3 linked regions of the Anolis sagrei genome follow. The protein of the gene in region 1 purifies or fractionates together with the protein of each later gene. This does not show direct contact. Links are inferred from orthologs where the notes say so. Each region holds a gene or a part of one and is shown on either strand. Other genes may lie near its edges.

Region 1 (10,354 bases):
GTGGGGAAGGGCAAGGGCTCGGCCTCCGGGTAGGTGAAGATGAAGGAGGAGGAGTAGGAGGAGGCGCACGGCGTGCAGGCCACCACCGGCGTGCAGAGCGGCTCCAGCATCATCTCCGACGCTGCCGCTGACACCGCCGCAACCCCTGCCGGGTGGGCCCCGGGCCCCATCGGCTCCCAGTCCGCCGCGTAGAAGGAGGAGGACGAGCCAGACAGGTCCACGTCCGGCACCGAACGCGAGGAGGAGGAGCGCGCGAAGAAGTCGTCGAAAGGCTCCGACTTGAGCTCCAGCAAGTTGTTGCTGCTGTTGCTGTTGCCGCTCTCCTTGGCAGGCTCGGCGCGGGGGGCCTCCGGAAGAAGAGGCAACGCGAACGCCTCTTCCTCATCCTCTTCCTCCTCGTCCTCCCCCATTTCCTGGGGCGAAGAGGCCACCGAGTGGCCCCCTCCCCCGGCCAGCAGCTCCAGCGCGGATACGGAGGCCACAGCCATCTCCTCCGGGAAGCGGAGCTCTTCGGGCACCTTGCAGGCCGGGCGGTGAGCGGCCAGGATGAACTCCAGCTTCTCCTTCTCCTTCAGCAGGTTGGCGATCTCGGTCTGGAGGGAGGCCTTCTCCTCCTCCAAGAGGTCAGTCTCCTGCAGAGAAGAGAGAGAGAGAGAGAGTCAGGCAATGGAAAGAGAGAGGCAAAGAGAACATCTGAAGGACAATAAGAGTGTCAAAGACTTGCATGGCCGCAATCACTGGGTTGTTGTAGGTTTTTCGGGCAGAATAATATTAATAATACTTTATTTATACCCCACCACCATCTCCCCAAGGGAGCAGCTTACATGAGGCCAACCCCAACAGTACAGCAAAGCATAGAGTAAAATATGATAAAATTAAAAATAAAATAAAATACAAAACAATATAAATGTATAGCCATGTTCCAGAAGCATTCTCTCTTGGCGTTTTGCCTGCATCTATGGCAGGCATCCTCAGAGGTTGTGAAGTCTGTTGGAAACTAGGAAAATTGAGTTTATGTCTCTGTGTAAGATCCAGGGTGGGAGAAAGAACTCTTGTCTGTTAGAGCTAAGTGTAAATGTTTCAATTGGCCACCTTGATTTGATGACCTGACAGTTTTTAGGTGTTGCTTGTTACTGCCTAGGGGAATTCTTTGTTATATGGTTCTGAGGATGCTTGCCACAGGTGCAGGTGAAACGTCAGGAAAGAATGCTTCTAGACAGGGGTCCTCAAACTTTTTAAACAGAGGGCCAGGTCACAGTCCCTCAAACTATTGGAGGGCCAGATTATAATTTGAGAAAAACATAATTTGAATTCCTATGCACACTGCACACATCTTAGTTGTAGTGCAAAAAACACTGAAAAACAATACAATAATTAAAATGATGAATAATTTTTAAAAATATAAACTTATTAGTATTTCAATGGGAAGTGTGGGCCTGCTTTTGGCTGATGAGATAGGATTGTTGTTGTTATTGTGTGCTTTCAAGTCATTTCAGACTTAGGTTGACCCTGAGCGAGGGCTGGGTAAATGACCTTGGAGGACCTTATCCGACCCTCAGGCCTTACTTTGAGGACCCCTGTTGTAGAACATGGCCATACAGCCCGAAAAACCTACAACAACCCATCTGGATGACCATGAAAAGGCCTAGAGCAGGCATGGGCAAACTTTGGTCCTCTGGGTATGTTTTGGACTTCAACTCCAGGCTGTTAGGAATGGTGGGAGTTGGAGTCCAAAACACACCCGAAGGGCCGAAGTTTGCCCATGCCTGGAGAGAGACAGAGAGAACCTCTGGAGGACTGGGGAAAGGCCTAGAGAAGAAAGACTCACCGATTGCAAGGTGTCGGTCAGCTCGCGTCTTCGGTTGCGGCACTTAGCGGCTGCCATCTTGTTCCTCTCACGGCGAATTCGCCGCTTCTCTTCCTCTTCTGGCGTCAGCTGCAAAAAGAGGGAAAACAGAGCTGTTAATCTCCAGAAAGAAAGAGATATAGCTCAACTCTACTTCATATTTGACTCCTAGGGCAGTGGGAGTGCATCTACAGCAGGTATGGGCCAACTTGGGTCCTCCAGGGGCTTTGGACTCCAACTCCCACCATTCCTAACAGCCTCAGGAGGCCCTTTCCTTTTCCTTAGCGGCTGAGGGGGAAAAGGAAAGGGCCTGAGGCTGTTAGGAATGGTGGGAGTTGGAGTCCAAAGCCCCTGGAGGACCCAGGTTGGCTCAAACCTGCTTAGCAGCTCCTCCTGCAGGCGTGCTGTCTCTCTGGACCTACCTGCTCGACTTTGCCTCTGCGCCCAATGCTGGTCCCTCTGCTGGCTGCCTTGACTAGTCCTGCCCTGGCAAAGGCTCCCGTCTGCGGGGCGGGCAGGCCGTAAGGGTGGCTGCGGTTCTGGGAAGGAGCCACCGAGGAGATGAGCGTAGGCTGGACCATCCATTGCAAGTCCGGGCTGGTGGAGATGGCCGTCACCGTGGGCACGAAGCCCGCGCTGGAACCCGAAAGGTCGGCGCAGAAGTCCTAAGGGAGGAGGCAAAGCAAAAAGGTCAGAGTCTCCAGAAACGCTATTTGGAGCCGCGAGGCCACCGTCGCCCGCCATCGTCAGGCTCCGCACGAGCGAACGGGGCTCAGGCTATAAATATCTCTGACGTCCGCGCTGACGCAAGCGCCGCTCCGGAGTCTCCTGAATGGAGCCGCGTTTTTATCAATGGAGCCGCTTTTTACGCGCGCGCCGAGAGCGCCCCCGCCCCTTCCCCATTCATCTTTTTTTTTTCTTTCGCGTGTCAGCAGGGGGAGAAAAAAAGAGAAAACGCCAATCACCCGCGCCCCTGCCTCTATATAACCCCATACTGAGTGGTGCCTTCCTCTGAACAAAGGGAAATATGTAGGGCGATACGGGAGATGATAATAATCATATTACTACCAATAATAAATGTCATTTGTTATTATTCCCCCCCCTTAAGACTCGTCTATACCTTCAGTAAGATTATACATTTAATTCTATGGCCAATGATGCCTTTTCTGAACAAAGGAATTGGGAATATATAGGGCACGATTATTATTTTGTATTATATTATAATATATTAATATAATATTATCATATATAACATAATGAAATAATATAAATATTATTATATCATATTGGTATATTATTATGATTATATATGTAGTATTATATATAATATAATGATATAATATAGATAATATAAATATTATATTGTATTGTTATATTATTATATAATATATGTATATATTATATAATTATATTATATTGTTATATTATATTATTATTTTATTAATACTATATTATTATTCTATCCCCTTCTAAAGGACACTCAAACGACAAGAAAGGAGCATACATCCAGTAAGTCAATATTATAATAGATTATAAGTCAATATTATATTATAATATATTATTTTATTATTATTATCCTAACCCCTTCTAAAGGAGACTCAAAGCGAAAGACAGGACCATACATCCAGTAATATTATATTATTATATTACATTATTATGTATTATATTATCCCCTTCTAAAGGAGGCTCAAAGCGAAAGACAGGACCATACATCCAGTAAGATTATATTATATTATTATTATTATTATTCTATCTCCTTCTAAAGGGGCTTCAAAGCAAAAGACAGGACCATGCATCCAGTAAGATTATATTATGATATTACATTATTATATTATATTATTATTCTATCCCCTTCTAAAGGAGACTCAAAGCAACAAGACAGGAGCATACATCCAATAAGACAATAATATTAATAGTCATAATAATATTTAATGTTCCATAAGGCTATATATCCATCAAGCATCCAATAAGGAAACATCAGCTCTTTGGAGTCCGAGCGAGGAAGGGAGAAGGGACCCACTTCGCCTGCCTTTCAAGGCGCCCCATCCAACCCCAGAAAATCTCTTCCCCGCGTCCTTCTCTCGCTCACCTGCCCGTTGACAGGCGATCCCATGCTGGAGAAAGAGTCTGCCGGAGACGGGTAGTAGGTGAGGCTGTCCCCCGCCGGAGAAGCGCTGCTGCAGCGGGAGGAAGCGGCGTCGTAGTCGGCGGCGAAGCCCTGGTACATCATCTCGGGGATTGACACAAACCCTTCCGTGTCCTTTCGGGGCGGTTCAATTCTCCCGAAAGAAGCGCCTCTCGGAGTGGCAAAGCCCGTCGTCGTCGTCTGCTGTGTCTGCTCCCCTCACTGCTTAGTTCTGCTTCTGGAGTAAAAAGAGCGGCACCTCCGCCTTTTATCCTCTTGCGGTGGGACTTCTGAATGAACGGACGTCACGACTGGAAGGTTCCACCTCGGCGGGGGGAGGCGGCGAGAGAGGGGCGGCGGAGGGACGCCCCGAAATGGGTTACTAAAGCGTGCTCGTGGCTCTCCTCGGCGACAAACCCTGACGGCGGCGTCGGGATGATTGCCTGAAGCGTCCTCCGCGGCGGGCCGCTTTTAAGAGCCGGGCGCCGCGTCAGGCTCCGCCCCCGCTCCCGAAATGGTTCGGCCCAGGCTCGGGAACCCACTGACGTAAATATCCTTATATGGCATACATCCTGTCCAAGAGGGGTGTGACTGCCGGGAAGCGCTCCAGGGCTGCGGCCAAAAGGGCTGGTGCGTGCCTGTGGCGACGGCTAGGGGGAGCGAAAGCGGCAAGAGCCGCAGCGACGGGTTCTGCATGCAGATGCTGCCCGCTTTAGTGCTGACCAGACACCCGAGGAGTGGCGCCTTAAAGGGACAGAGCACCAATTGTCCGCCAGAGCAGAGGTGGACGACCTTTGCAGGGTTTGGCCACACACAGGTCGATTTCACCTTAAAGGGTTTTAAAACCATATCCTATATAGGACACAGAATCATAGAATCATAGAATCCTTGAGTTGGAAGAGACCTCATGGGCCATCCAATCCAAGAAGCAGGAAAATTGCTCCCGACCAATAATAGTCTAGCTTGCTGTTGACCTATGCAGCCCGAAAGACAGTTGCATCTGTCAAGTAGGAAATTTAGGTATCGCTTTATGCGTTCTCGTGACTCTCCTCTGTTACAAACCCTGCTGTTGACCTATACAGCCTGAAAGACAGTTGCATCTGTCAAGTAGGAAATTTATGGTATCGCTTTATGCGTGCGCGTGGCTCGCCTCGGTTACAAACCCTGCTGTTGACCTATGCAGCCCAAAAGACAGTTGCATCTGTCAAGTAGGAAATTTAGGTACCGCTTTATGCGGGAAGGCTATTTTAACGCATTTACGATGCCATAAAACCTTCCAGCAGTGTGCAGAAGAATGAGGAAGTACTCCATCAAGGACTCCGTGTCACAAGTGGATGGTGAAGCAGCAGCTCCCCCTGTTGCCGGAATCGAGCATATCCTCATGAAGCCGAAAAAGCTGGAATGTTAAATTGCCTCTGTGTCTGTCTCTATATGTCATATGTCCAAATGGCATTGAATGTTTGCCATGTATATGTGCATTGTAATCTGCCACCTGAGTCCCTGCGGGGTGAGAAGCGCAGAATATAAACACTATAAATAAATAATAAGCAGGAAAATCGCATTCAAAGCACTCCCGACAGATGGTCATCCAGCCTTGTTTTAAAAGCCTCTAAAGAAGGAGCCTTCACCACACTCCAGGCCAGAGAATTCCACTGCTGAACACCTCTCACAGTCAGGAAGTTCTTCCTCATGTTCAGGTCCCCTCGCTCTCCTTCCAAAAGAGAAAATAATTGGATGTCTCTCATACAGCATAGATATTGGGAGTGTGGAGCTATAGAAAGGCTTCCAATGATTACTAACTGCACCAAAACACATTATAGACGAGGCATGGGCAAGCTTGGGCCCTCCCTCTAGGTTTTTTGGACTCCAACTCCCACCATTCCTCACAGTCTCAGGCCCTTTCCTTTCTCCCCACAGCCGCTTAAGCGTTTTGGACTCCAACTCCCACCATTCCTCACAGCCTCGGGCACTTTCCTTTTCCCCCTCAGTCGCTGAGTTGGAGTCCAAAACACCTGGAGGGAGGGCCCAAGTTGCAAGCAACTCCCTTTGCCATGTCTCATATCTGTCTTTGGTATGCTGAGCCAAGGTTCAATATGAGTACATAGCCACACCATTTCCAGTTCGGGTCAGCAATGTCAAGCTTACAGACATTTCCCCCCCTAACATGAGTATTAGTAATTGTGATACCAGATTGAAAATATGAGCAGATGCCTCCATTCATTTATACAGGTCCCATCGCTGCTGCTGTTTTTGTTTTGGCTTTAAATAATCTCCATCTATTTAGATCTCTGTATCATAACCCACTGGTGGTGCAGCGGGTTAAATCACTGAGCTGCTGAACTTGCTGACTGGAAGGTCGGCAGTTCAAATCTAGGGAGTGGGGTGAGCTCCCACTGTTAGGCCCAACTGCTGCCAACCTTCCTGTTTGAAAACATGCAAATATGAGTAGATCAATAGGTACCGCTTCTGCGGGAAAGTAATGGCACTCCATGCACTCAGATAAACCAGTTCAAAGCAGATATTGTGGGATCTTCTGCCCTGATATTCTGGGTTATATGGTTGTGTGGAAGGGCCCTGGGGCCTCCAATACAACTCTGTGGTCAGCTTCTGCCAGAAGTTGACTATAAAGTTACACCAGGGGGCCAGGCCCGTAGCCAGGATTTTGATTCGGGGAGGGGGGGGGGCTGAGTCTGAGTGAAAGAGGGTCTACCCTAGCAAACCTTTTGTATTGTTACCCCAATACCCCCATGCATATGGGATATATTGAGCATGGTGATCAGATCATGATACGAATAAACGTAACAGTTTAAATAATGTACCAGAAAAGCCTTTTCGCAGACCACCATGAGAATTTGGGGGGGGGGGGGCTGAAGCCCCCCAAGCCCCCCCCCCCCCCCCCCCCGGCTACATGCCTGCTAGGGGCCCATCCACACAGCCATACAACCCAGAATATCAAGTCAGATATTCCACAATATGTGCTTTGAACTGAATTATCTGAATCCACATTGTTATATAATCCAGTTAATTGTGAATTTTATACTGCTGTATGGAAGGGGCCTAGGATTTGAACCACATTGTATGGTCAGTGTAGACCCCCTATAATGCAGTTTGAACTACATTATATACAGTGACAGCATTATATGGCAGTGTAGATCTTGCTGTAACATGGGCCCTTCCACACATCCCTATATCCCAGAATATCAAGGCAGAAAATTCCACAATATCTGAGTGTGGATCCAGGGCCCTTCCACAGAATATCAAGGCAGAAAATTCCACAATATCTGCTTTGAACTGGGTTATCTGTGTCCACACTCAGATAATGTGGGATTTTCTGCCTTGATATTCTGAGATATAGGGCTGTGTGGAAGGGCCCCTATTAAGCAAATTTGTTACTAATAAAAACTGATTAGCAAAGCTGTTTATACTATGGTGTATTGTGTTGTTCTTATTATGTTGGTTTCTCTGGATATCGCAATAGAACAACAGCACAGAAATTAATGGTGAGGATGACTTCTTCAGACGTAGGCAAATATATCTTGGGAAAGGCACCCATAGAGAAGATTTATTTTCTTTTTCATTTGGGACTTTTCATTTGAACCTTTCTAGGACAAAGGTGAGCAATGACACACCTCCCAATGTGGTTGAACTGCAAGTCCCAGTTCGGCACAGCCAGTGGTGAGAAATGCTGGGAGGGGCAGTCTGGGTTAAAATGAAAAGCAGGTCTAATTAAAGGGAATCCCCATCTGACATCGCAGAGGCTGTTCAAGTTCATGCAAAGGGAAAATAAATCACTTAGGCAGAATTACGACACTTGAGTTCATTTCCAGCTGGCTCAGCATTTTACCTGGTATTAATCATGCATTCAGATGCAGGTGAAAGGACGCCAGCAATCTCTCGCATGCCATTTGCTCAAACAGTGATGGTGCAATTCTTAGCTCTGGGGTTTCAGACCCATTTCTGAGGTCACAGGGGACTCCAAAAACCCTGTTTATGTAATACCTATAATTAGGCTGACCGAAAGGTGATTGAGGCTCTCATCTACACTGCCATTAAATGCAGTTTCAGAATGCAGATGAACTGCATTGAACTGGATTATAGGACAGTGTCAACTCATACCATCCAGTTCAATCTGCATTATATGGCAATTTATGGGGCCTGTCAGACTGGATCTACACTGCCAAATATTGTAGTTTGAACTGAATTATGTGGTCAGTGTAGACCAGGCATGGGCAAATTTTGGCCCTCCAGCTGTTTTAGACTTTGGCCCCCATATTATAAAGATAGTCGAAAGGATAGAAATAGTCTCAGCTTCCAATTGCAGACAGTAACATCACATCATGTAGTCCAAGTTTCCAGTATGCCTGAAAACATCACCAAAGCAGCCACTAGTTGGAGAATGTTTGCTGATAAGAAAACAGACTTTTGAGTCACACAGAACACTTTCTTGAATTATAGGAAACCTCTGGAAGCCATCCAGGGTATTGTCTGAGCCGCACCCACACTGCAGAATTAGTGCAGTTTGATACCACTTTCAACTGCCATGGCTCCAGTTCAAGTGGAGTCAAACTGCATTCATTCTACAATTCTACTCCAGCCGGTTTCCAGTATGCTTCTGCCCTGATATGTTAGGCACTAGTTTGGTTCAGAAGATGCATGTTGTGTAAGAGTGAGATTTAATGTTTTTTCCCAAATTTTAATAGGTTGTTGGTGACTTGCATGGTTTTAATTATCTATTTTTAATAGTCCTATTTTAATGTTTATGTGTTTAGGTTTTAAATTGTATATTGTATCATTTTTAGTATTGTCAGCAGCTCTAAGTGATGAGGGAAAAAGTGGGCAATACATAATAATAGCAATAATAATAATAATAAGTAACTATGCATTTGAAAAAATATATTTCTGGTTTGAAAGTGTTATTTCCTGTTTAATTGTGTTGTACTTGCTTTGAAAGTAGTTGTTACTGTCATATACTAGGTCAGGAACACCTTTTCACCCAGCCTTTATTGGCTTGTGCCAGAGTCTTTGCAATTCTATCTTTAAATCCTGATATCAGTCAGCTTTTACAGTTGCTTCTCCTCAATCCTGCTGTTGCCTGGGATTGCAACACCTATGAACCATACTTTTTTATCCCCACAATTGTGAGGTCAGGAGTATTATGCTCCAAAATTCTGTCAGTCTAAATTCTGAATAATAATAATAATAATAATAATAATAATAATAGATCGAACTGCAAAGACTCTGGCACAAGCCAGTAAAGGTAGTCCCAGTGGTGATCGGCACACTGGGTGCAGTGCTTAAAGACCTTGGCCTGCACTTAAACACAATCAGCACTGACAAAATTACCATCTGCAAGCTGCAGAAGACCACCTTACTGGGATCTGCACACATTATTAGCCGATACATCACACAGTCCTAGACACTTGGGAAGTGTCCGAAGTGTGATCAAATTCAACAGCCAGCAGAGTGTTTGCTGTGGACTCATCTTGTTGTGTTTCTAATAATAATAATAATAATAATAATAATAATAATAATAGGTAAAGGTTTTCCCCTGACATTAAGTCCCATTGTGTCCGACTCTGGGGGTTGGTGCTTATCTCCATTCCTAAGCCGAAGAGCCAGCGTAGACAACTCCAAGGTCATGTGGCCTGCATGACTGCATGGAGCACTGTTACCTTCCTGCCAGGACAGTACCTATTGATCTACTCACATTTGCATGTTTTCAAACTGCTAGGTTGACAGAAGCTGGGGCTAACAGTTGGAGCTCACACCACTCTCCAGATTCGAACCTGCGGCCTTTCGGCCAGCAAGTTCAGCAGCTCAGTGGTTTCACCCACTGCTCCACTGGGGGCACCAATAATAATAATAATAATAATAATAATAATAATAATAATATGTTGATGGGATAGCAGACTTTTGAGTCACAGACAGTAGGTGGTGGAATTCAGCCTGTACTTGTATCTAATGTTCAGGGTACTCTGGATGTTGGGAATGACAATTAGGTTCATGTATCTAATGATGTGTCTAATGATGAGGGTGCTATTGATGGAGAATGGCAATGGGATTCCTGTTCAAAGTGTCTTTTCTGGTGAGAATGTTCCTAAAGGGTTTGGGGATGATGATATGGTCCCTGGAAGAGGGCCTGAATTGCTACCAGAGAATTCCCATGACTTTGAGCCAGCTGCAGAAATTAATGAGCCATTAGATAAAAGGCATATTTTCAGTCAGCACAGGCAAACAGACCAATCTCTCAGGCGCTCTGCCAGACTGAGAGAGAGATTGATAACAGAGACAAGGCTGAAACGAAATACATTCCTGGCCTCTTGGGACATAGAGTAGATTGGGGATAAAAGTGCCAAGTACAGAATATGTAGTCAGATGAAGCA
Region 2 (10,541 bases), on another chromosome or scaffold:
GGGGCTCCGGCTTCTGCACCCTCCTTCTCCTCCTCCCAGCTGATTTGCAGGAAGTGCGAGGAGGAGGAGAAGGAGGGTGCAGAAGCCGGAGCCCCCGTGCGCGCTCCGGCTTCTGCGCCCTCCTTCTCCTCCTCCCAGCTGATTTGCAGGAAGTGCGAGGAGGAGGAGAAGGAGGGTGCAGAAGCCGGAGCCCCCGCGCGCGCTCCGGCTTCTGCGCCCTCCTTCTCCTCCTCCTCGCACTTCCTGCAAATCAGCTGGGAGGAGGAGAAGGGAGGGGGCAGAAGCCGGAGCCGGATGGCGCGCGGGGGCTCTGGCTTCTGCGCCCTCCTCCTCCTCCTCCTCCTCGGGTGAGCGCGCGCAGGGGCTCCGGCTTCTGCGCCCTCCTTCTCCTCCTCCTCCTCGGGTGAGCGCGCGCGGGGGCTCCGGCTTCTGCGCCCTCCTCCTCCTCCTCCTCGCACTTCCTGCAAATCAGCTGGGAGGAGGAGGAGGAGGGCGCAGAAGCTGGGAGCGCCGGATTGGCTCCCAGGCACCAGCACTGAGTCAGCACAGCAGCCGCCATCCCATTAACGACACGAGCTGAAGCTCGTAAAAAAAATGGGGCTGCTGTTTCGATATTTTTAAACCCTTCCGGGTTTAAAAATATGTTTTGAAATCGCTTCGGATATGGTTAAAATAACGATTTAATTACGAATTAACGAATTAACGAACTAAAACCGACAGGCCTAATATCTATTTATCTATATCTATGGCTGGGTGGCTCTTTGTCAGGAGGGCTTTGTTCATGTTTTCTTGTCCTGGTGAAGGGAGTTGGACTGGATGGTCTTAAGGCAGCATTTCTCATCCTGGGGGTCAGGACCCCTGGGGGGGTTGTGGGGTCATCGAAGGCCACCAGAAAACACAGTCTATTCTGTTGGTCATGGGGGTTCTGTATAGAAGGTTTGGCCCAATTCTCTCGTTGGTGGGGTTCAGAATACTCTTTGATTGCAGGTGAACTATAAATCCCAGCAAATACAACTCCCAAATGTCAAGGTCTGTTTTCCGCAAACTCCACCAGTGTTCACACTTGAGCATGTTGAGTATTCGGGCCAAGTTTGGTCCAGATCCATCATCGTTTGAGTCCACAGTGATCTCTGGATGTAGGTGAACTACAACTCCAAAACTCAAGGTCAATGCCCACCAAACCCTTCCAGTATTTTTGTTAGTCATGGGAGTTCTGTGTGCAAAGTTTGGCTCAATTCCATTGTTGATAGAGTTCAGAATGCTCTTTGATTGTAGGCGAACTATAAATCCCAGCAACTACAACTCCCAAATGACAAAATCAATGTTTTTGAGTGATGGTCACTCGTTGGCCTGATGGGCATATTGTGTCCAAATTTGGTGTCAATTCGCCCAGTTGTCTTTGAGTTATGTCAATCCCACAAAGGAACATTACATTTTTATTTTATAGATTACCATCATATGTGTATGTTGTTTTGCATGTGCGTTGTAGCATTATTTTATTTTATATTTTTGCTTTTTAAGTCTCTTCTGCTGTATATTTCAGTGTTTTTAGGAGTGATGGTCACTTGTTGGCCTGAAAGGTGTGTTGTGTCTAAAATTGGTATCAATTTGTCCAGTGGTTTTTGAGTTATGTTAACCCCACAAACAAACATTACATTTATCTATCTATCTATCTATCTATCTATATATGCTCTGTGCATGAGTACCTTAAAAACAAAAGAACTAATGGGCAAAATCACACCAAATTTGGCAACAAAATGTCTCTCTACACAAGGAGTGACCATCAATCAAAACATTATGGTTTTGTCATTTGGGAGTTGTAGTTGCTGGGATTTATAGTTGACCTACAATCAAAGAGCATTCTGAACTCCACCAACGATGGACTTGAACCAAACTTGGCACACAGAACTCCCATGACCAACAGAAAATACTGGAAAGGTTTGGAGGGCATTGACCTTGAGTTTGGGAGTTATAGTTCACATATATCCAGAGAGCACTGTGGACTCAAACAATGATGGATCTGGACCAAATTTGGCATGAATATTCAATATGCCCAAATATAAACACAGATGGCGTTTGGGGGAAATAGACCTTGACATTTGGAAGTTGTAGTTACTGGGATTTATAGTTCACCTACAATCAAGGAGCATTCCAAACCTCACCAACGATGGAATTGGGACAAACATCCCACACAAAACCCCCATGACCAAAAGGAAATACTGTGTTTCCTGGTGGTCTTTGGTGACCCTTCTGACACCCCCCTGGTGACCCCCCCCCCTTGGTGTATTGACTTCCCAGGTTGAGAAATGCTGCCTTAAGGCCATCCAGTCCAGCTCCCTTCACCAGGGCAACAAAACAAAGCCCTCCTGACAAAGCGCCATCCAGCCATTCACACACACACATATATATATGTGTGTATATGACAGATGTATATCAAAGATTTGAAAGGGACCCCTAAAGCAAACCAGACAATCTCCACTGGCAAAGAAACAACAAGGAAGCTCCAACTGGTCCAACGGGCGGCAGCCATGATACTAACAGGAGCGGGACGCAGGGAGCATACAACCCCCCCTACTGTACCAGCTCCACTGGCTGCCGATCTGCTACCGGGCTCAATACAAATTGCTGGCATTGGCCTATAAAGCCCTAAACGGTTCCGGCCCAAGATACCTAACTGACCGCCTCTCGGCCTATGAGCCCACGAGGACTTTGAGATCTTCCGGGGAGGCTCTGCTCTCGATCCCGCCTGCTTAACAGGCACGGCTGGCGGGGACGAGAGATAGGGCCTTCTCGGTGGTGGCGCCTCGGCTGTGGAACGCTCTTCCCGTGGACATCAGGCTAGCTCCCTCCCTGTTGATATTCCGCAGGAAATTAAAGACCTGGCTATTTAAGAAGGCATTTGAACAAGAAGTGATTGGTAATTTGACCATAGGAATGGAACAACGGAAATGATACCAGATTGTGGGTTTGACGATGAGACGACACGGAATGGCTTTTGTAGTAATGTTGATGTTTTTGATGATGATGTTTTTGATGATGATGTTTTTGTTTAATGCTGGATGTGAATTTTATATTATGTCTTGAATTGTTGAATTTTGTTCTTTCTATGTTGTACACCGCTGTGAGTCGCCCCCAGGCTGAGAACAGCGATATATAAGCAAAGTAAATAAATAAAGTAAATAAAACAAAGCCCTCCTGACAAAGGGCCATCCAGCCATTCACACACACACACACATATGACAGATGCAGTACCAAAGATTTCAAAGGGAACCCCGAAAAAAGGACAATGATATGTTACATGTTCCAGAGTAGGCAAACCAGACAATCTCCACATCAACACTGGCAAAGAAACAGCAAGAAATACTGTTTACTCAGAAACATTAAGAAATCACATATATTAGAAACCAACACATTCTCATTACTTCATTTCCAGATCACCAGACTGGGCCACAGCAACGCGTGGCAGGGGACAGCTAGTATTTATATATATAGATAGATTAAACCTTGAGGAATTCTGGGAGCTAAAGGACCAAAGATGGGGCGCATAGGAGTGACCTGCAAGATGGGTGTATGTAAGGCCAAGACTCGCTGTAGCAACTGAAGAGGAGGCAGGTAAGCAATGGCTAGCCTTCTCCCCCTCCCCCGCTCCTTCCCCATCTGGGCGCCCCTCGCTCACCACACGAAGTCGTTGCTTTTGTCTTCGTAGGAGTTCAGGAGGCCATTGCAGAGCGGCGTCAGCAGTGGCCTCTTCCTGCTGCTGCTGTTGGCGCTGCCTGGGCCGCTGCTCCCAGCCCGGCCTCCCCCCGCCAGGCGAGCCAGGCCTGCACTGCTGGAGGAAGAGCCCGAGGCAGCGGCCGCCACCAAGACAGGCCGCGCAGGGGCCCCCAGCCCCACTGAGGCGGAAGAGGACGAGGCGCCCGAAGCCGCCGAAGCAGTGCCCGAAGAGGCCGAGGTGGTGACCGAAGGGGAGGACGTGGAGGAGGACCCCGGGGGAGGAGGCCCGGCCGCGGAGTGCTGAGGCGGCTGCCGGCTCCCCGACATCCCGGCTCCGGCTCAGCGCATCTCCCCCGACGCTCCGAGAGGGGAGCGGGCCGCACCAAGGCTTCCTCTCAGAGGAGGAGAAGGAAGGAGGAGGAGGACGGGCGCCTGCTTGGGAGCGCGTGCGCAGCACCTGATTGGCCCCTACGCCTGCCAGGGAGCGCGTGCGTGGCACCTGATTGGCCCCTGCGCCCGCCCTCAAACCAAAGGGGCGGGGCGGAGGCTCCCAACACCCTCCCTTCTCGTCGGAACTTGATTCAGGGGCCGGCACTGCGCGTGCGCAACCTCCATAGCGTCTTCAACGCGTCGAAGTTGTTTTTGTTTTTTTGGGTCGTCACGTCGTAACGGAGCAGGCAAAGGTCAACGCGCCTGCGCAAGAGGGCTGGACAGCGGTAGCCTAGCAACCACAGCGGCCTATCACATTTGGTCAGCGCGTGGAGGAAGGCTTGTGTTTTAGGGCTGAAAATGGTTCAAAAGTCATTCCAAAATTAGGGGACGCTGGCATTTCATAGAATCACAGAATTGGAAGAGACCTCGTGAGCTATCCAGTCCAACCCCCTGCCAAGAAGGAGGAAAATCGCATTTATTTATTTATTTATTTGCTTTATTTCTATACCGCATTTTTCAGCCTAAATTAGGCGACTCAATGCGGTTTACACAATGCAGGTTATCACAACAATAAACAGTTAAAACACATCATACACAGCAACAAAATCAACAATTATTATCAATTCATAACGCCTCGATAACAGAGCAAAATCCATTCTCATAATCCTTGTGCCATTCCTATGTTCAATTTTACCGTCTTCCTGTGTTCAGTTGCACCGTTTAGCCAAACGCTTGCTCGTAGAGCCAAGTCTTAACCTTCTTCCGAAACGCCAGCAGCGAAGGGGCCTGTCTGATGTCTACAGGTAGGGCATTCCATAGCCGAAGGGCCACCACCGAGAAGGCCCTGTCCTTCGTCCCCGCCAGCCGTGCCTGATCTTAACGTCCACGTCGGTTCATAGGTGGAGATGCGTTCGGAGAGGTAAGTGGGGCCGGAACCGTTTAGGGCTTTGTAGGCTAACGCCAGCACCTGAATTGTGCCCGGTAGCGGATTGGCAGCCAGTGGAGCTGGCTCAACAGAGGAGTGGTATGCTCCCTGAGTGCCGCTCCTGTTAACAACCTGGCTGCCGAGCGCTGGACCATCTGAAGCTTCCGGGAAGTCTTCAAGGGCAGCCCCACATAGAGCGCGTTGCAGTAATCTATACAGGATGTAACCAGAGCGTGGACTACCGTGGCCAAGTCAGACTTCCCAAGGTACGGGCTCAGCTGGCGCACAAGTTTTAATTGTGCAAATGCTCCCCTGGTCACCGCCGAGACCTGGGGTTCCAGACTCAGTGATGAATCCAGGATCACACCCAAGCTGTGAACCTGTGTCTTCAGGGGGAGTGTGACCCCGTCCAACACAGGCTGTAACCCTATACCCTGTTCGGCCTTGCGACTGACCAGGAGTGCCTCTGTCTTCTCTGGATTCAATTTCAATTTGTTAGCCCTCATCCAGTCCGACACAGCGGCCAAGCACCGGTTCAGGACCTGAACAGCCTCCTTAGTAGTAGGTGGAAAGGAGTGACAGAGTTGGACATCATCTGCGTACAGATAACACCGCACCCCGAAACTCCGGATGATCTCTCCCAACGGCTTCATGTAGATGTTAAACAACATGGGGGACAGTATTGAACCCTGCGGGGCCCCACAAGACAATGGTTGTGAGGACGAGCAGTTGTCCCCCATCAACACCTTCTGGGTACGATCCTCTAGGAAGGACCTGAGCCACTGCAAAACAGTGCCACCAAGGCCCATTCCCGCGAGGCGTCCCAGAAGGATACCGTGGTCGACGGTATCGAAGGCCGCTGAGAGATCCAACAGGACCAACAGGGACACATTCCCCCTGTCTAGCTCCCGGCGGAGATCATCCACTAAGGCGACCAAGGCTGTCTTGGTACCATGCCCCGGCCTAAAGCCAGACTGTGCCGGATCCAGATAATCCGTGTCTACCAAGAATACCTGAAGTTGTGAGGCCACCACACGTTCCAGGACTTTGCCCAAAAAGGGGAGATTGGAAACAGGATGATAGTTGACAAATTGAGTGGGGTCCAGTGATGGTTTTTTCAACAGCGGTTTTATTACAGTTTGTTTTAAGCTGGCTGGAATTTTGCCTTCCCGAAGGGAGGCATTAACCACCACTTCCACCCACTCGGCCAATCCCCCTCTGGCTTCCTTCACGAGCCAGGATGGGCAGGGGTCTAGGATGCCTGTGTTTGCTCTCATTCCTCCAAGTATCTTGTCCACATCCTCGGGTTTCACCAATTGAAATGAATCCATCAAAATCGGACAAGCAGGTGCTCGTGTTACATCCTCAGAGACTGCCGTTAACATGGTATCCAGGCCAGAACGGATCAAAGCGACTTTGTCCGCAAAGAACTGAGCAAATGCTTCACAGCGGGCCGTTGAGTTGTCAGGGTTCCCCTCCGGAGTGGTGTGGTTTAATAGACCTCTGACAACTCAAAACAGCTCCGCCGGACGGTTCTTTGCGGACGCAATATTGGCCGCAAAGAAAGATTTCTTTGCCGCCTTTATTGCCACGGCATATGCCCTTAGAAGCACCCCCGACAGATGGCCATCCAGCCTCTCTTTTAAAGCTTCCAAAGCTTCCATTTTATATTGCTTACTGTGTTGTTGTTGTTCATTCGTTCAGTTGTTATTTATTTATTTATCGTGTCATCAGCAGCCATACCATTGTATTACATTTGTAACAGAACCAAACAAACAAACATTAAAAAAGGAAAAAAATTGTAAACTTGGTAGTTGATTAAATGTCCTTTGACCAGTATCTGGCCACTTGGAGTGCCTCTGGTGTTGCCTTTCCTGAAGGTCCTCCATTGTGCATGTGGCAGGGCTCAGGGTGCATTGCAGCAGGTGGTCAGTGGTTTGCTTTTCTCTGCACTCGCATGTCATGGATTCCACTTTGTAGCCCCATTTCTTGAGGTTGGCTCTGCATCTCGTGGTGCCAGAGCGCAGTCTGTTCAGCGCTTTCCAAGTAGCCCAGTCTTTGGTGTGCCCAGGAGGGAGTCTCTCATCTGGTATCACCCACGGATTGAGGTGCTGGGTTTGAGCCTGCCACTTTTGAACTCTCGCTTGCTGAGGTGTTCCAGCGAGTGTCTCTGTATATCTTAGAAAACTATTTCTTGATTTAAGTCGTTGACGTGCTGGCTGATACCCAAACGGGATGAGTTGGAGATGTTACCTGCTGCAATGCCTTGGTCCTTTCACTATTGGCTGCTACTTCCCGGCGGATGTCAAGTGGTGCAACAGTGGCTAAGGAGTGTAATTTCTCCAGTGATGTAGAGCGCAGACGCCCCATGATAATGCGGCATGACTCATTAAGAGCCACATCCACTGTTTTAGTGTGGTGAGATGTGTTCCACACTGGGCATGCGTACTCAGCAGCAGAGTAGCACAGCACAAGGGCGGATGTCTTCACTGTGTCTGGTTGTGATCCCCAGGTTGTGCCAGTCAGCTTTCTATGATATTGTTTCTAGCACCCACTTTTTGCTTGATGTTCAGGCAGTGCTTCTTGTAGGTCAGAGCACGATCCAAAGTGACTTCCAGGTATTTGGGTGTGCTGCAATGCTCCAGTGGGATTCCTTCCCAGGTGATCCTCAGAGCTCGGGATAATTGTCTCTTCTTAAGGTGAAAGGCACATGTCTGTGTTTTAGATAGATTAGGGATCAGTTGATTTTTCCTGTAATAGGCAGTAAGAGCACCTAGAGCTTCAGAGAGCTTCTGTTCAACCATCTCAAAGCTCCCTGTTTGAGTGGTAATGGCACAATCATCAGCATAGATGAAACTCTCTGTCACTTCTGACAGTGGCTGGTCATTTGTGTAAATGTTGAACATGGATGGGGCCAGCATGCTCCCCTAAGGTAGGCCGTTCTTCTGTTTCCGCCATCTGCTTCTCTGGCTCTGGAACTCAACAAAAAAAGCTCCTGTTTTGTAGCAGGTTTCCTATGAGGCGCGTGAGGTGGTAGTCCTTTATGATATTATACATTTTTCTCAGGAGGAGGCGGTGGTTCACAGTATCATAGGCTGCTGACAGATTTATGAAGACAGCTCCTGTGATCTGCTGCCTTTCAAAGCCATCTTCTCTGTGCTGAGTCAGGTTCAACACTTGCAATGTGAAGCTTTTGCCTTTCCTGAAGCCAGCTTGCTGTGGAATCAGACAGACGTTTAACGACTTAAATCTAGAAATAGTTTTCTAAGATCTACAGAGACACTCGCTGGAACACCTCAGCAAGCGAGAGTCCAAAAGTGGCAGGCTCACACCCAGAACCTCAACCAATGGCTGATACCCAATGAGAGACTCCCCCCTGAAAACTGGGCAACTTGGAAGGCGCTAAACAAACTGCGCTCTGGCACCATGAGATGCAGAGCCAACCTCAAGAAATGGGGCCACAAAGTGGAATCCACAACATACGAGTGTGGAGAAGAGCAAACTACAGACCATCTGCTGCAATGCAACCTGAGCCCTGCCACATGCACAATGGAGGACCTTCTTATAGTAACACCAGAGGCACTCCAAGTGGCCAGATACTGGTCAAAGGACATTTAATCAACTACCAAACTCGCAAATTGTGTATTTTGTCTGTTTGTCTGTTTTGTTATGTTAGAAATGTAATGCAATTGACTGGTTGCCCTGACACGACAAATAAATATTCGTTCAGTCGTTTCCGACTCTTCGTGACTTTATGGACCAGCCCACGGCAGAGCTCCCTGTCGGCTGTCACCACCCCCAGCTCCTTCCAGTCAATCCAGTCACTTCAAGGATCCCATCCATTCATCTTGCCCTTGGTCGGCCCCTCTTCCTTTTTCCTTCCATTTTCCCAAGCATCATTGTCTTCTCTAAGCTTTCCTTTCTTCTCATGATGTGGTCAAAGTACTTCATTTTGGCCTCTAGTATCCTTCCCTCTGATGAGCAGTCGGGCTTTATTTCTTGAAGTATGGACTTGTTGGATCTTCTGGCGGTCCAAGACACTCTCAGCATTTTCCTCCAGCACCACAGTTCAAAAGCATCTATAAAAATAAAAATAATAATAATAATAATAACAACAACAACAACAACAACAACAACACTTTATTTGTACCCCGCTACCATCTCCCCAAGGGACTCAGTGCGGCTTACATGAGACCAAGCCCAAATACAACAATACAAGCAATAATAACAACAATACAAGCCATTAAAATAAAAACGCAGTGCCCAAACACGAATCACGGAACATGAAAGGCACTGCAGACTACTTCAACCAGAGAAATCAGCCATAGCAGAGCACCTGATGAACCAACCTGGACACAACATATTATTTGAGAACACAGAAATGCCGGACCACTCTAACAACCACCATGTCAGACTACACAGAGAAGCTACTGAAATACACAAGCATGTGGACAATTTCAACAGAAAGGAGGAAACCATGAAAATGAACAAAATCTGGCTACCTGTATTAAAAAACTCTAAGATTACAACAGCACAACAACAGAGAGGAAACAAACAAGGACATCTAATCACCTCTCAACAAAAGTTTGCTCTAGGCACTGTCAGGCCATTATATGCTAATCAAGGTGGTCAGTTGAAACATTCACACCTAGCTCCAGCAGACAAGAGTCCTTTGTCTCACCCTGGTCATTCCACAGATATATAAACCCATTTTTCTAGTTCCAACAGACCTCACTACCTCTGAGGATGCTTGCCATAGATGCAGGCGAAACGTCAGGAGAGAATGCCTCTAGACCATGGCCATATAGGCCGAAAAAACCTACAACAACCCGGTGATTCCGGCCATGAAAGCCTTCGAAATACCGTCGAAGCCGTTCAGCAGTGGAACTCTCTGCCCCGGAGTGTTGTGGAGGCTCCTTCTTTGGAGGCTTTTAAACAGGCTGGATGGCATCTGTCGGGGGTGCTTTGAATGCAATCTTCCTGCTTCTTGGCAGGAGGTTGGACTGGATGGCCAATGAGGTCTCTTCCAACTCTGTTATTCTATGAATCCCTCTTGTCCTTTGCTGAATGAAGCATTTGTTGGATTTTCTTAGTGGCCCTATAGATAGTTTGTAGGTTGTGTTTCTTCATCAACTCTTTGCAGTCAGTGGTTTCCTTGTCGTATGGTACGAACACTTTTCCTCTGGGTGGATCTTTGTCTTTACTCTCATGGCTTGTACATGGTCTTGCAGCTCTTTTAATGTCTGTGGTGGAATATCCATTGGCCTGTAGAGCTCCGTTTAGGTCGTTCAGTTCACCTTGGAGGAAGAGGGCTTCACAGATTCCTTTTGCACACTCTGCCAGGGCTTTAATCGTGCTTCTTTTTTGACTTGAGTTATGGTTGAAGTCTTTATGTAGGTATCTATCTCTGTGTGTAAGTTTTCTGTAAACTGTGCGGCCCAATTGTTGATTGGGTTTGCAGATGACTAGG
Region 3 (10,770 bases), on another chromosome or scaffold:
AAAAAAGATAATGGGATTTAAGGCTGCATCAAAAGGGGTATAGTGTCTAGATTGAGGGAAGTCATGGTGCCCCTCTATTCTGGTTTGGTCAGACCTCACCTGGAATACTGTGCCCAATTCTGGCCACCATAGTTTAAAAGAGATTGACAAACTAGAAGCTGTCCAGAGAAGGGCACCTAAAATGATCAATGGTTTGGAGACCATGTCCTATAAGGAGTGTCTTAGAGAGCTGGGTATGTTTAGCCTTTAGGAGAGAAGGTTGAGAGGAGACACGAAAGCCATGTATAAATATGTGAAAGTATGTCATAAGGAATGGGGAACAGGCTTGTTTTATACTTCCCTATAAACTAGGACTTGAAGCAATGGGTTCAAATTACAGGAGATTTCACCTGAATATTAGGAAGAACTTCCTAACTGTAAGAGCTGTTCAGCAGTGGAACTCTCTGCATTGGAGTGTGGTGGAAGTTCCTTCCTTAGAAACTTTTAAACAGAAGCTGGATGGCCATCTGTCAGGGATACTATGGCATGGCAGGGGGTTGGACTAGATGGCCCATGTGGTCTCTTCCAACTCTATTATTCTATGAATCTGTTCTTGGTTTGAAAATGTTATTTTCTGTTTAATTGTGCGGCACCTATTTTGAAAGTAGTTGTTATACTATTCCAGAAGCTTGGTTTTTGTGACTGCTATAAAACTAGGTTGGAATTGGTTAGGACTCAATGAGATATTTATTTTTAAAAAACTATCCTAAAATGTGCTGCAGGATGTCCTTCCCAAAAAAAAAAAAAAAAAGGATGTTGGAGTTTAATACACCTTTTCCAGGTTTAATACACCTTTTCCAATTAGGAAATGACATTTATAACTCAGGAACAAAAATTGTGCTACATAGTGTAATTATTTCAATAAAGTAAAAAATAATAAAATTAGCATCATACTGTGACTTCTCATGGCATGAGAGGTTAAGGTTGCTCAGAATCTCCAGTGAGGGCTGCTGCTTGTTTCTGCTCATATACACGGCACATATAATTTTATATGTACTTTTGCATATAAACTGTGCTCCTCTGTACCTTCCCTTCTCCAGGTGCACACCTCCAAGGTCAGGATGGGAATATTCCTGATGACATGGGCGTGTCACATAATTCAGTAGGGTTTGCTGGTACATCACCCTGCAAACCAATGCACCAATGTCCCATTGTTCTGTCCATGCTCTCCTCTATCATGCACTGCAGGGAGATATCAGAAGCCACATCCATTGGCTATGAGAATCAGAGTTTTAGCACCCTGATTTCGCCATCATCGCTAGCTCACAACTTGACTGACTCCTCCATAATTAAAGACCTCAAGCAGAAAATATACTTGCCAAATATATTCATAATGCCCATAAATCAGATGCTCTCCCACACACACATCTTCCTATCAGCATCACGTGGCATCACTGAGGAGCAGCCACTGTAAATACAAGGGAAACCTAGAGTTGGGAGAGACCTGATCTAGTCCAATCCCATTCTGTCACATAGGAATGCACTATCCAAGCTTTCCCTACAAATGGCCATCCAATCTCCATCAGACTCTTGGGCAGCAGGTTCACAAAAATGAAACCCGATGTGTATAAAAGCACATACAAAGACAGGAAGATAACCATATGCTGCAATTAAACTATGCATAGAAGCAAAAGCATTTAAAACAATGACTGAAAGATGAGTCAACATTATCAGCACACTTGCAGCCAGTTCCTAAATGTCTTATCTGAAGGGAAATGGCAGCACCTGAAGTTTCTATGCACCAACATTGGCATAAGACCTGAAAAACCCTTATTTATTTATTTACCTTATTTATATCTCGCCTTTCTCTACCCCAATGGGGACTCAAGGCAGCTTACATATAGCACTCCATAGTGACTTAAAAACATACAATGGAAATTTTAAATAAATTGAATTAAAATAATACATAACATGGTTAAACTATACTTCAATGTATTGTCCCTTAGCCTGGGATTTCCTTGATCCTGTTTGTAAGCACCTATATAAAAGCAGTCCCCGAGTTACAAACATTTGACTTACAAACAACTCCTAGATAAGAACAGGCCTGAGACAACAGGAAGTGAGAGGAATCTAGCCCTTGGAAGGAAGGCAAATCCACTCTTGGAAGAGTTATTATCATGGGGAAAAGGGGTCTCCACTGAAGTTTTCTCACCAAACCTTGTTCCCAGAACAAGCCACATTTTTCAAAATCCAATTGTTATACGACCAGAAAGCAAGGTGAAACCTTCTGAACAAGGACACAGGTAGCAAAGGAAACTCCACAGGAGTGTTAGCCCTGCCCTATGCCTTCCAGAGATCGGATATCTATCTATCTATCTATCTATCTATCTATCTATCTATCTATCTATCTATCTATCTATCTATCTATGATCTCTGGAAGGCATAGCGTAGGGAGGGCTATATATATATTTGGCTGGATGTACACTTTAAGTAAGCAAGCGCAAGTGGGGGAAGAGGAGGAAGTGCAGACACAAGAACGGGAGGTGTGGCTGGGAAGAAGAAAGTGCAGAGAAAGGAAGAAGAAGAAAAAGCCGGTTGTTTACCTTGTTCGGTCTAAACGATTTAGACTGATTTAAAGGGGGGGAGGGAGACACAGCCACATTTTAGGGAGAGATTTACAACACGATTTATGTCCCCGGGTTGTAAATGTTATTTTCTAACTGGTTCAGTCACAAAAACATGGAAAATATTTATTAAACTGCAAATAGTGTTTTTCAGTGAATTTTTCAGTTTGTGGCAGCCAATAAGTTCTGCACAATTAATCTGTAAAGAACATCAAACCAAGAACAGACTCCCCCCCCCAAATTTTGTTACATTGTGTTATCATTACAAAAGGGGTAAATGTATAAGGGGCGAGGAAAGCCTCAGTATTTCTTTGTTTACAAATCTAAGTGTACATACAATTTAGGGAGGAATGAGAAGGTGCTTCTTTCCCCAAAAAGGTGATCCAATAAACAAAGGAGGCTTTATTGCGGATGGATGGTCTCCCTCTCTCACTGTAGGAAGACCTCCCATTATATTCTCATCCCTTTTCTATCTTCCCGAGTCCAGGACTATTCATGCTTCCTAGAGGTCATTTTACTGATGCTGGGTGTCTATTTTGGCAACTGGGGTTTTGTTTAGGCTACTAAACTAGACCATATAGAGGACAAATGTGCTGGAGAATGAAACCAAGGGGTCACACACAGATGAACACTCAGAATCACCTGGGTTCATTTAAGACCACAGCAAAATTGGTATTCAAACTGAGCTTGGGCTGCTGCTGCTATCACATGCTATCAAAATTTGAAAAATGTTCAGTTCCTGGTTTGAAAGTGTTATTTCCTATTTAATTGTGCGGTACTTCCTTTCAAAGCAGTTGTTCTACTCCATAAACATTGTTTTTGTGGCTGCCCCAACTAGGTTGAATTGGTTGAGACTCTGTGAGATATTTATTGAAAAACGATAGCAAAATGTGCCGCAGAATGTCCCGTAAAAAACAATATTTTTTGCAGTTTACTAAACTTTCCACATGTGTTGATGAGAGAACCAATGTGGAAATGCCATTTATAACCCAGGGACAAACACCGGGTTAGATGGTGTTATTATTATTTTTGAGCAGTTTGCAACACTAAAAACAATACAAACTGCAATCTAAAACACCTGCAACATGTCAACATTAAACTAGTAATCAACCTTGTTCCTCCACTTCAGCCCACCGCCTAGCCAGCCATGTTCTTTCGTAAAGGACTCCACCTCAGTCCCCTCTGTAAAGGTCATCCAGCCCAACTCCACACTCAAAGCCCTTCCCACAGATGGCCATCCTGCCAGCTATGTCCTCCAGGGCATTCACCTGCCAGGCCCTTTCGAAGAGGCATCTTCTCCTTTAGAAACATAAACCCCTAGAGCTGGGAGGGACTCCAAGGACCATCCAGTCCAACCCTTTTCTTTGTGCCATTAGAAGGCACAATCCAATCCCTCCATCCAGCTTATGCTTTAAAACCTCCAGAGACAGAGGGAGACTCCATGGTCACCAAAAATATTGTTATCACTGAATCCTTGAGTTGGAAGGGACCCCAAAGGCTACTGTTAAACCCTCATCTATCAGGTGAGAAGACGCAATCAAAACACTCCCGACAGATGGCCATGAGAAAGAGATTTATTTTTTTGTTGCGTCAGGAGCAACCGCTCCTGTTGTGAGAGAATTGGCCGTCTGCAAGGACGTTGCCCAGGGGACGCCTGGATGATTTCTGATGTTTTTATCATCCTTGTGGGAGGCTTCTCTCATGTCCCCGCATGAGGAGCTGGAGCTAATAGAGGGAGCCCATCCGCCTCTCCCCAGATTCGAACCTGCGACCTGTCGGTCGGAAAGAGAGATAACAGATAGATATACATGATATATAATACATATACGGTATTACAGAATGCTAGAGCTGGAAGAGACCCCAAGAACCATCCAAACCAACCCCCTTCTGCCAAATAGGAAGGCACAATCTAATCCCTCCCGACAGATGGCCATCCAGCCTCTGCTTTAAATCCCCCAGAGAAGGAAGGGGACTCATTGGATTTTTCCGTTGGAATGACAAGGGGCCTCGAAGGCCACCCAATAACAAGCCCTTTCAGGAAGCCCTTCCGACAGATAGCCCTCCTGCCAGCCGGGCCTTCTTCCATGGCCTTCCCTTTCCTTCTCACCCATCTTCGCCGCCTCCGGGCCCGGCCCCGCCGGCCACCGTCCGACGTCTCGCCAGTCCCGCACCGACTCCGCCACCTGACAACGGAAGTGACGCCACACCGACGTCACTGCGCCGCCGCCGCCGCCGCTCATCACCGCCACGCCTCCCTCTCACTCCCACCAGCCGCCATATTGTTTCCGGGATCCCTTCGCCCTCGCGGCTTGCCTCTGATTGGCTGAAAGGCTAAAGGAGGGGTTCTAGGGCGTCTGCGATTGGTCGAGAGGAGTAGGCAGAGCCCGCCCATCCTGACTATGATTGACAGGAGGTGGGTTGCATCACTAAATAGAACTGGGTACCAATGGAGCATCCCTTGTTCTCTGAAATGCCTTAGACCAGGTATGCGCCAACTTGGGCCTTCCTCCAGCTGTTTTGAACTTCAGCTCCCACCATTCCTAACAGTCTCAGGCTTAAGTGGCTGAGGGGGAAAAGGAAAGGGCCTGAGGCTGTGAGGAATGGTGGGAATCGAAGTCCAAAACACCTGGAGGAAGGCCCAAGTTGGCCCATGCTTGGTCCAAGAGAAAGGGTGCACCTACACATTTGAATTGACCCCACTGGAACTGCCATGGCCCAAGGCTATGGAATCATGGAAGCTATAGTCTTCCATGATTCCATTAAAACTTGTGCGCAAGCTACGCCTGTACCTTGGGAAGTCAGACTTGGCCACGGTGGTCCACGCTCTCACTACATCCAGGATAGACTACTGCAACGCACTCTACGTGGGGTTGCCTTTGAAGACTGCTCGAAAGCTTCAAATAGTCCAACGAGAGGCAGCCAGGTTAATAACGGGCGGCATCAGGCCTGTAGCGAGGGGGTGGTTTTAGGGGTTCAACCCCCCCCCTCCAGAACTGTAAGCACTATCTCAAGAGTCCCTCCAGAACTGTAAGCACTATCTCAAGCAAATATTGACAATTTATTCACACTGTCATTACTTGCAGCAATAGCCGATGTAGTGAAGCAACCAAGTTGGGGGTTTGTGTGTTGAATGCTCTCATTAAGGAGGCCAGACTTGGTGGAGGTGGTTGACAGGGGTGGAGCTGCAGGCTATGGAAGGCTGCTCCGCCCCCTGCTGTGCTCTTTGCTTCAGCGTGGGCTAGGAGGCAGGTTTCAATCCCACCCCCACCCCCCAAAATTTGTCAACCCTCCCCGAAATTTTCAATCCCCCCCCCCAAATTTTTAACCCCTCCCCCAAAATTGTCAACCCTCCCCGAATTTTTTTTCTGGCTACGGCCCTGGGCGGCATACAGGGAGCATACAACTCCCATGTTACGGCAGCTCCACTGGCTGCCAGTTTGCTACTGGGCACAATTCAAAATGCTGGCTTTAGCCTATAAAGCCCTAAACAGACTTGGCCCAATTTATCTGTCCGAACACATCTCCTCCTATGAACCATCACGGAGATTAAGCTCCTCCAGGGAGGCCCTGCTTTCCGTCCCGCCATTGTCACAGGTGCGATGGGTGGGGATGAGAGACAGGGCCTTCTTAGTGATTGCCCCCCAGCTATGGAACTCCCTTCCTGGTGAGATCAGATCGGCTCCCTCCCTCCTGTCCTTCAGAAGGATGGTAAAAACTTGGCTGTGGGACCAAGCTTTCGGGACAGGGCAATAAAGCAACAATAGGAAAGATTACCAGGCCGATTTAACGGAGATGACTAAGACGGTTTTAAATGGTGTGTTTTAATATTGAGATAAATGTTTTTAATGTTTATGTATGCGCATATAAATTCTTGTCCCGGCATTGAATGTTTGCCGTATATATGCTGTGCTCTGCCCCGAGTCTCCTTTGGGGTGAGAAGGGCGGAATAGAAATGTTTTAAATAAACAAACAGTCTTACAAAGCCTTTAGCTTTCTCTGCCAAAAGGGGACTGCCGGGGCATCACCAAACTACAAATCCCGGAATGGCATAGCATGGAGCCAAGGCAGTCAAAAGTGCATGAGTGAATGTACCCCAGGCGGGGTTATTGCTGACACATGACTTGTCAGTGTTATTGCTAGCTGCCATTAAGCTTGAATCATGGTGACCCTACACATGGGAGGCCTCCTGTTTCTGGGTATTTTTTAAAGGCAAAGGCTGGATGGCCATCTGTCGGGAAGGCTTTGTGTCTTCCTTCCTGGCAGAAGGATCTCTTCCAACTTTTAGATTCTATTATTATTATCATCAGAGCTTGGGTGGTCTTCTGTCGGGAGGTCTTGCATGGTGTCTTCCTTTATGGCAACCCCTTAGGGCCTCTTCCAACTTGAGGGTTCTATAATTCTCATTCTAGGATTCCTGTCTCTTCCAACTGTCTTTGAGCAGAAGCTGGATGGCCATCTGTTGGGAGGGCTTTGATTGTGTCTTTCTATCTGGCAATCAGACAGAGTCCATACTACCATATTGTTGTTGTTCATTCGTTCAGTCGTCTCCGACTCTTCGTGACCTCATGGACCAGCCCACGCCAGAGCTCCCTGTCGGCCGTCACCACCCCCAGCTCCTTCAAGGTCATATATTCCAGTTCAAAACAGATATTGTGGGATTTTCTGCCTTGATATTCTAGGTTATATGGCTATGTGGAAGGGCCCCAAATCCCTTCCAACGCTTTGATCCTATAGCTCTATACCAGGGGTCCCCAAACTGTGGCCCGGGGGCCGGATGCGGCCCCCCGAGGGAATTTATCCGGCCCGCCGAGGAGGAGGCCTGCGTCTTAGTGAAATCAGTTTTGGCTCTGCTAACGCAGAGCTCCTTTTGTTCTTTCTGTCTCCCCCTGAAGCTCTCTCTCCTTCTCCCCGTTTCAGTTTCTCCCCCTTTCCTCTCTCTTTATCTTTATCTTTCTCCCTCCTCCTTTCTCTCTTCTCTTTCTCCCTCTTTTTTTCCTCTCCCTTTCTCCTCTTCTTCCCTTACTTCTTCTTCTTTCTCAGAGGAGGTGAAGGCAGCGGTGGGAGCGCGCGGCTGCTGCCTGGAAGAGCAGAGGTAAGAGAATCCCTTGCCTCCACTCTTCCAGAAAAGACACAGCTGCCAATAGGCAGCCCCGAAGCCTCCCCTCGGCATCCAGCCCTCCTTCCTTCCCTCCACCTCTACCTCAACGCAGCTCAATGAGCTTTTCTTCCCTTCTTTGTCCTCTGCTTCTCTTCAGCAAATCCAGGCTCCTGCTGTGAAAACAGCCCGTAGGTAGGCTGTTAGGAGTTGTGGGAATTAAAGTCCAAAACACAAGGAGGGCCCAAGTTGGCCCATGCCTGCTTTAAGAAATACCAATGATATTTAATTCTGTTGTAGTGTTTCATCTATTTGTAGATTTGAAATTTTATTGAAATGTAAGCTGCTTTGGCCCCTTCCACACAGCTGTATAAAATCCACACTGAACTGGTTTATATGGCAGTGTGGACTCTGATAATGCAGTTCAAAGCAGATATTGTGGATTATCTGCCTTGATATTCTGGGTTATATGGCTGTTTGGAAGGGCCCTTCAAGGCAGGTCATATATCCCAGGATCTGATCCTAGGTTTTCTCTTTATCCCAGATTATCTGGCAGTGCAGATTTATATAATCCAGTTTAAAGAAGAAAACCTGGGATCAGATCCTGGGATATAGGGCCTGTCTGGAAGGGCCCACAGCCTCCTTGTGGAGACAAAACGTGGTGTATAAATAAACATAATAAACATAATAATCATAATAAAGCCCTCTTGTGATCTCCTGCTTTGGTCAGAACTTCCCACCTGGAATCACACTCTGAAACCAAATTGGAGAAGAAAAATCTGTTCCTGGCTAGAAAGTGTTATTTCCTGTTTAATTGTGTGGCCCTTACTTTGAATGTAGTTGTTCTCCTCCAGATACTTTGTTTGTGTGGCTGCCACAAACTATGATGAATCTAATTGTCATGGGTGTCCTGTATGCAAAGACAAACAGACTGAGGGTCCTTCCACACAGCCATATAACCCAGAATATCAAGGCAGAATAACCCACAATATCGGCTTTGAACTGGAATATCTGAGTTTGCACTGTCATATATCCTGGTTCAAAGCAGATAATGTGGGATTTTATTCAGCTGTGTGGAAGGAGCCTGAGAGACAGCTTTTATCATAGAGCTGTAACTATATTGAACTCCATGGCTTCCCATTGATGTACCATTGGGGGGCGGTTAGGGTGAGGTGGGAGTGTTGTTGTTGATGTGTGCTGGGGAAAACATTTTGTTTTACACTGTACAAGGGCAATAAAGTTATTCTGTTTCTATTGTTTAAATTGATTTCATGCCTTTGCCTGCCACCTTGGGCTCTCATGATATAGATTGGCAGAAAATGATGATAAATAATGATAATGCTAAAATTATTATTATTAAATGTATATCCCACCTTTCTCCCCATAGGAACTCAAGGTGGCTAACAATTTATCATTAACTAGCCTTTCCCTGCCACACATTTCTGTGGCCCAGTCTGTGTATATGTGTTGTGTGTGTGTGTATACATATATATTGTGTATGTGAGTATATATGTATGTTTGCGTATATATTTGTGGTTTTGCACATCCATTGTAATGTATTTTTTTAATCTCTACTGCTGTGTTTTTTTACTGTTTTTATGAGTGATGGTCACTCACTGGCCTGCTGGTGTATTGTGTTCAAATTCGTCCAGTTGGTTTTAGTTATGTTAATCCCACAAACGAACATTACATTTTATTTATATAGATCAGGGGTCCTCAAACTATGGCCCGAGGGCCGAATACGGCCCTCCAAGGTAATTTACCCGGCCCTCGCTCAGGGTCGAAAACAACTTGAAAGCACACAACAACAACAACAGCAACAACAACAACAATCCTATCTCATCAGCCAAAAGCAGGCCCAAACTTCCCATTGAAATACTACTAAGTTTATATTTGTTAAAATTGTTCTTCATTTTAATTATTGTATTGTTTTTAAGTGCCTTTTGCATTACAAATAAGATATGTGCAGTGTGCATAGGAATTCATTCATTTTTTTTCCTTCAAATTATAATCCGGCCCTCCAGCAGTTTGAGGGACAGTTGCCTGGCCTTCTGTTTAAAAAGTTTGAGGACCTCTGATATAGATTATGATGATAATGATAATAATAATAATAATATCCTGCCTTTCTCCTTAAAGGAATTCAAGGTGCCTAACTGTTCTGTCACCGCTGGGCCTATAGTTAGTTGACTTTAGATATAGGATGTGTAACCTTTACCCAGTGGGAAGCCAGGGGCCCTAGGAAAAGTTTTCAGAGGCTTCCTTTACAAAAGGAATCTTCAAATGGCTTAAAAGGCACAACAAAGTCTTTTATTAATGAATCAAACAGGAATTGTAAAGCTTTAAAGTATCAGTTCTCTCAAACTTGTCCGCAGAGAACAGGCACTATCTTCAATAACTTTCTTCAAAGGAAAATTCCCCCTTTTAACTTCTCCCAAGGCTAACAAAAATCCAACCCTCACTGGTGTGGACTCCTCTGCCAGGCCGAACTGCTTCTCAAAACACTGAGAGGATCTATCAGACAGGCGATGGATATTCTGTAGAGTTGGCTGTCTTCCTGGAAACTCCCAAGGCTGTAGGAAGGAATCCCAGGAGTTCTTAGGAGACCTTTAAAGCTGTGGGAATGCTTCCCTGGCGTTCTTTCCCTGGAGCTCTTAAAGGTTGAAGCCTTTGTACAGGGGAAGTAAACACATCCTATACAGTGGTTAACCTTGCTGTGACTGACTGGAAAAGGCTCCCTTCCCTCCAAAAAGCAAAAAAGGGGCAGGACCAGGAATCCTAACTATAATTGGCAGGTGGCTTACCCTATAAATGCAAATTATAACTGGAAACCCCCTGCTGCAAAATCCCAAGCATGGGATTGCACACAAACATTTAAACACAGCAAATAAATCTGGAGCTCCTGGAACAGCTGTTCCAGAACACTAACAATTATTTATTTATTAAATTTATATTCTACCTTTCTCCCCATAGGAATTCAAGATGGGTAACAATAATTAATTGTTTATTATTAAATGTATATACCACATTCTCCCCATAGGTATTCAAGGTGGCTAACAATTATTTGTCATTAAG

The links.
Region 2: the proteins of FOS (region 1) and COP1 purify together in Homo sapiens (affinity purification with mass spectrometry; 4 studies listed by BioGRID and IntAct, counting the BioPlex papers as one, with this or other methods). This does not show direct contact. The link is inferred for Anolis sagrei from reciprocal best matches to the Homo sapiens genes FOS and COP1.
Region 3: the proteins of FOS (region 1) and STK40 purify together in Homo sapiens (affinity purification with mass spectrometry; 3 studies listed by BioGRID and IntAct, counting the BioPlex papers as one, with this or other methods). This does not show direct contact. The link is inferred for Anolis sagrei from reciprocal best matches to the Homo sapiens genes FOS and STK40.

The regions. Positions count from the first base shown.
Region 1 is NC_090021.1:305,109,338-305,119,691, reverse strand, and holds the start of FOS (protein c-Fos), read right to left. Parts: upstream 4,407-10,354; 5' UTR 4,077-4,406; coding exon 3,936-4,076; intron 2,512-3,935; coding exon 2,269-2,511; intron 1,937-2,268; coding exon 1,829-1,936; intron 633-1,828; coding exon 1-632. UniProt on the Homo sapiens protein: Nuclear phosphoprotein which forms a tight but non-covalently linked complex with the JUN/AP-1 transcription factor. In the heterodimer, FOS and JUN/AP-1 basic regions each seems to interact with symmetrical DNA half sites.
Region 2 is NC_090024.1:128,576,924-128,587,464, reverse strand, and holds the start of COP1 (E3 ubiquitin-protein ligase COP1), read right to left. Parts: upstream 4,140-10,541; 5' UTR 4,042-4,139; coding exon 3,677-4,041; intron 1-3,676. UniProt on the Homo sapiens protein: E3 ubiquitin-protein ligase that mediates ubiquitination and subsequent proteasomal degradation of target proteins.
Region 3 is NC_090034.1:85,122,812-85,133,581, forward strand, and holds the start of STK40 (serine/threonine-protein kinase 40), read right to left. Parts: upstream 4,824-10,770; 5' UTR 4,715-4,823; coding exon 4,711-4,714; intron 1-4,710. UniProt on the Homo sapiens protein: May be a negative regulator of NF-kappa-B and p53-mediated gene transcription.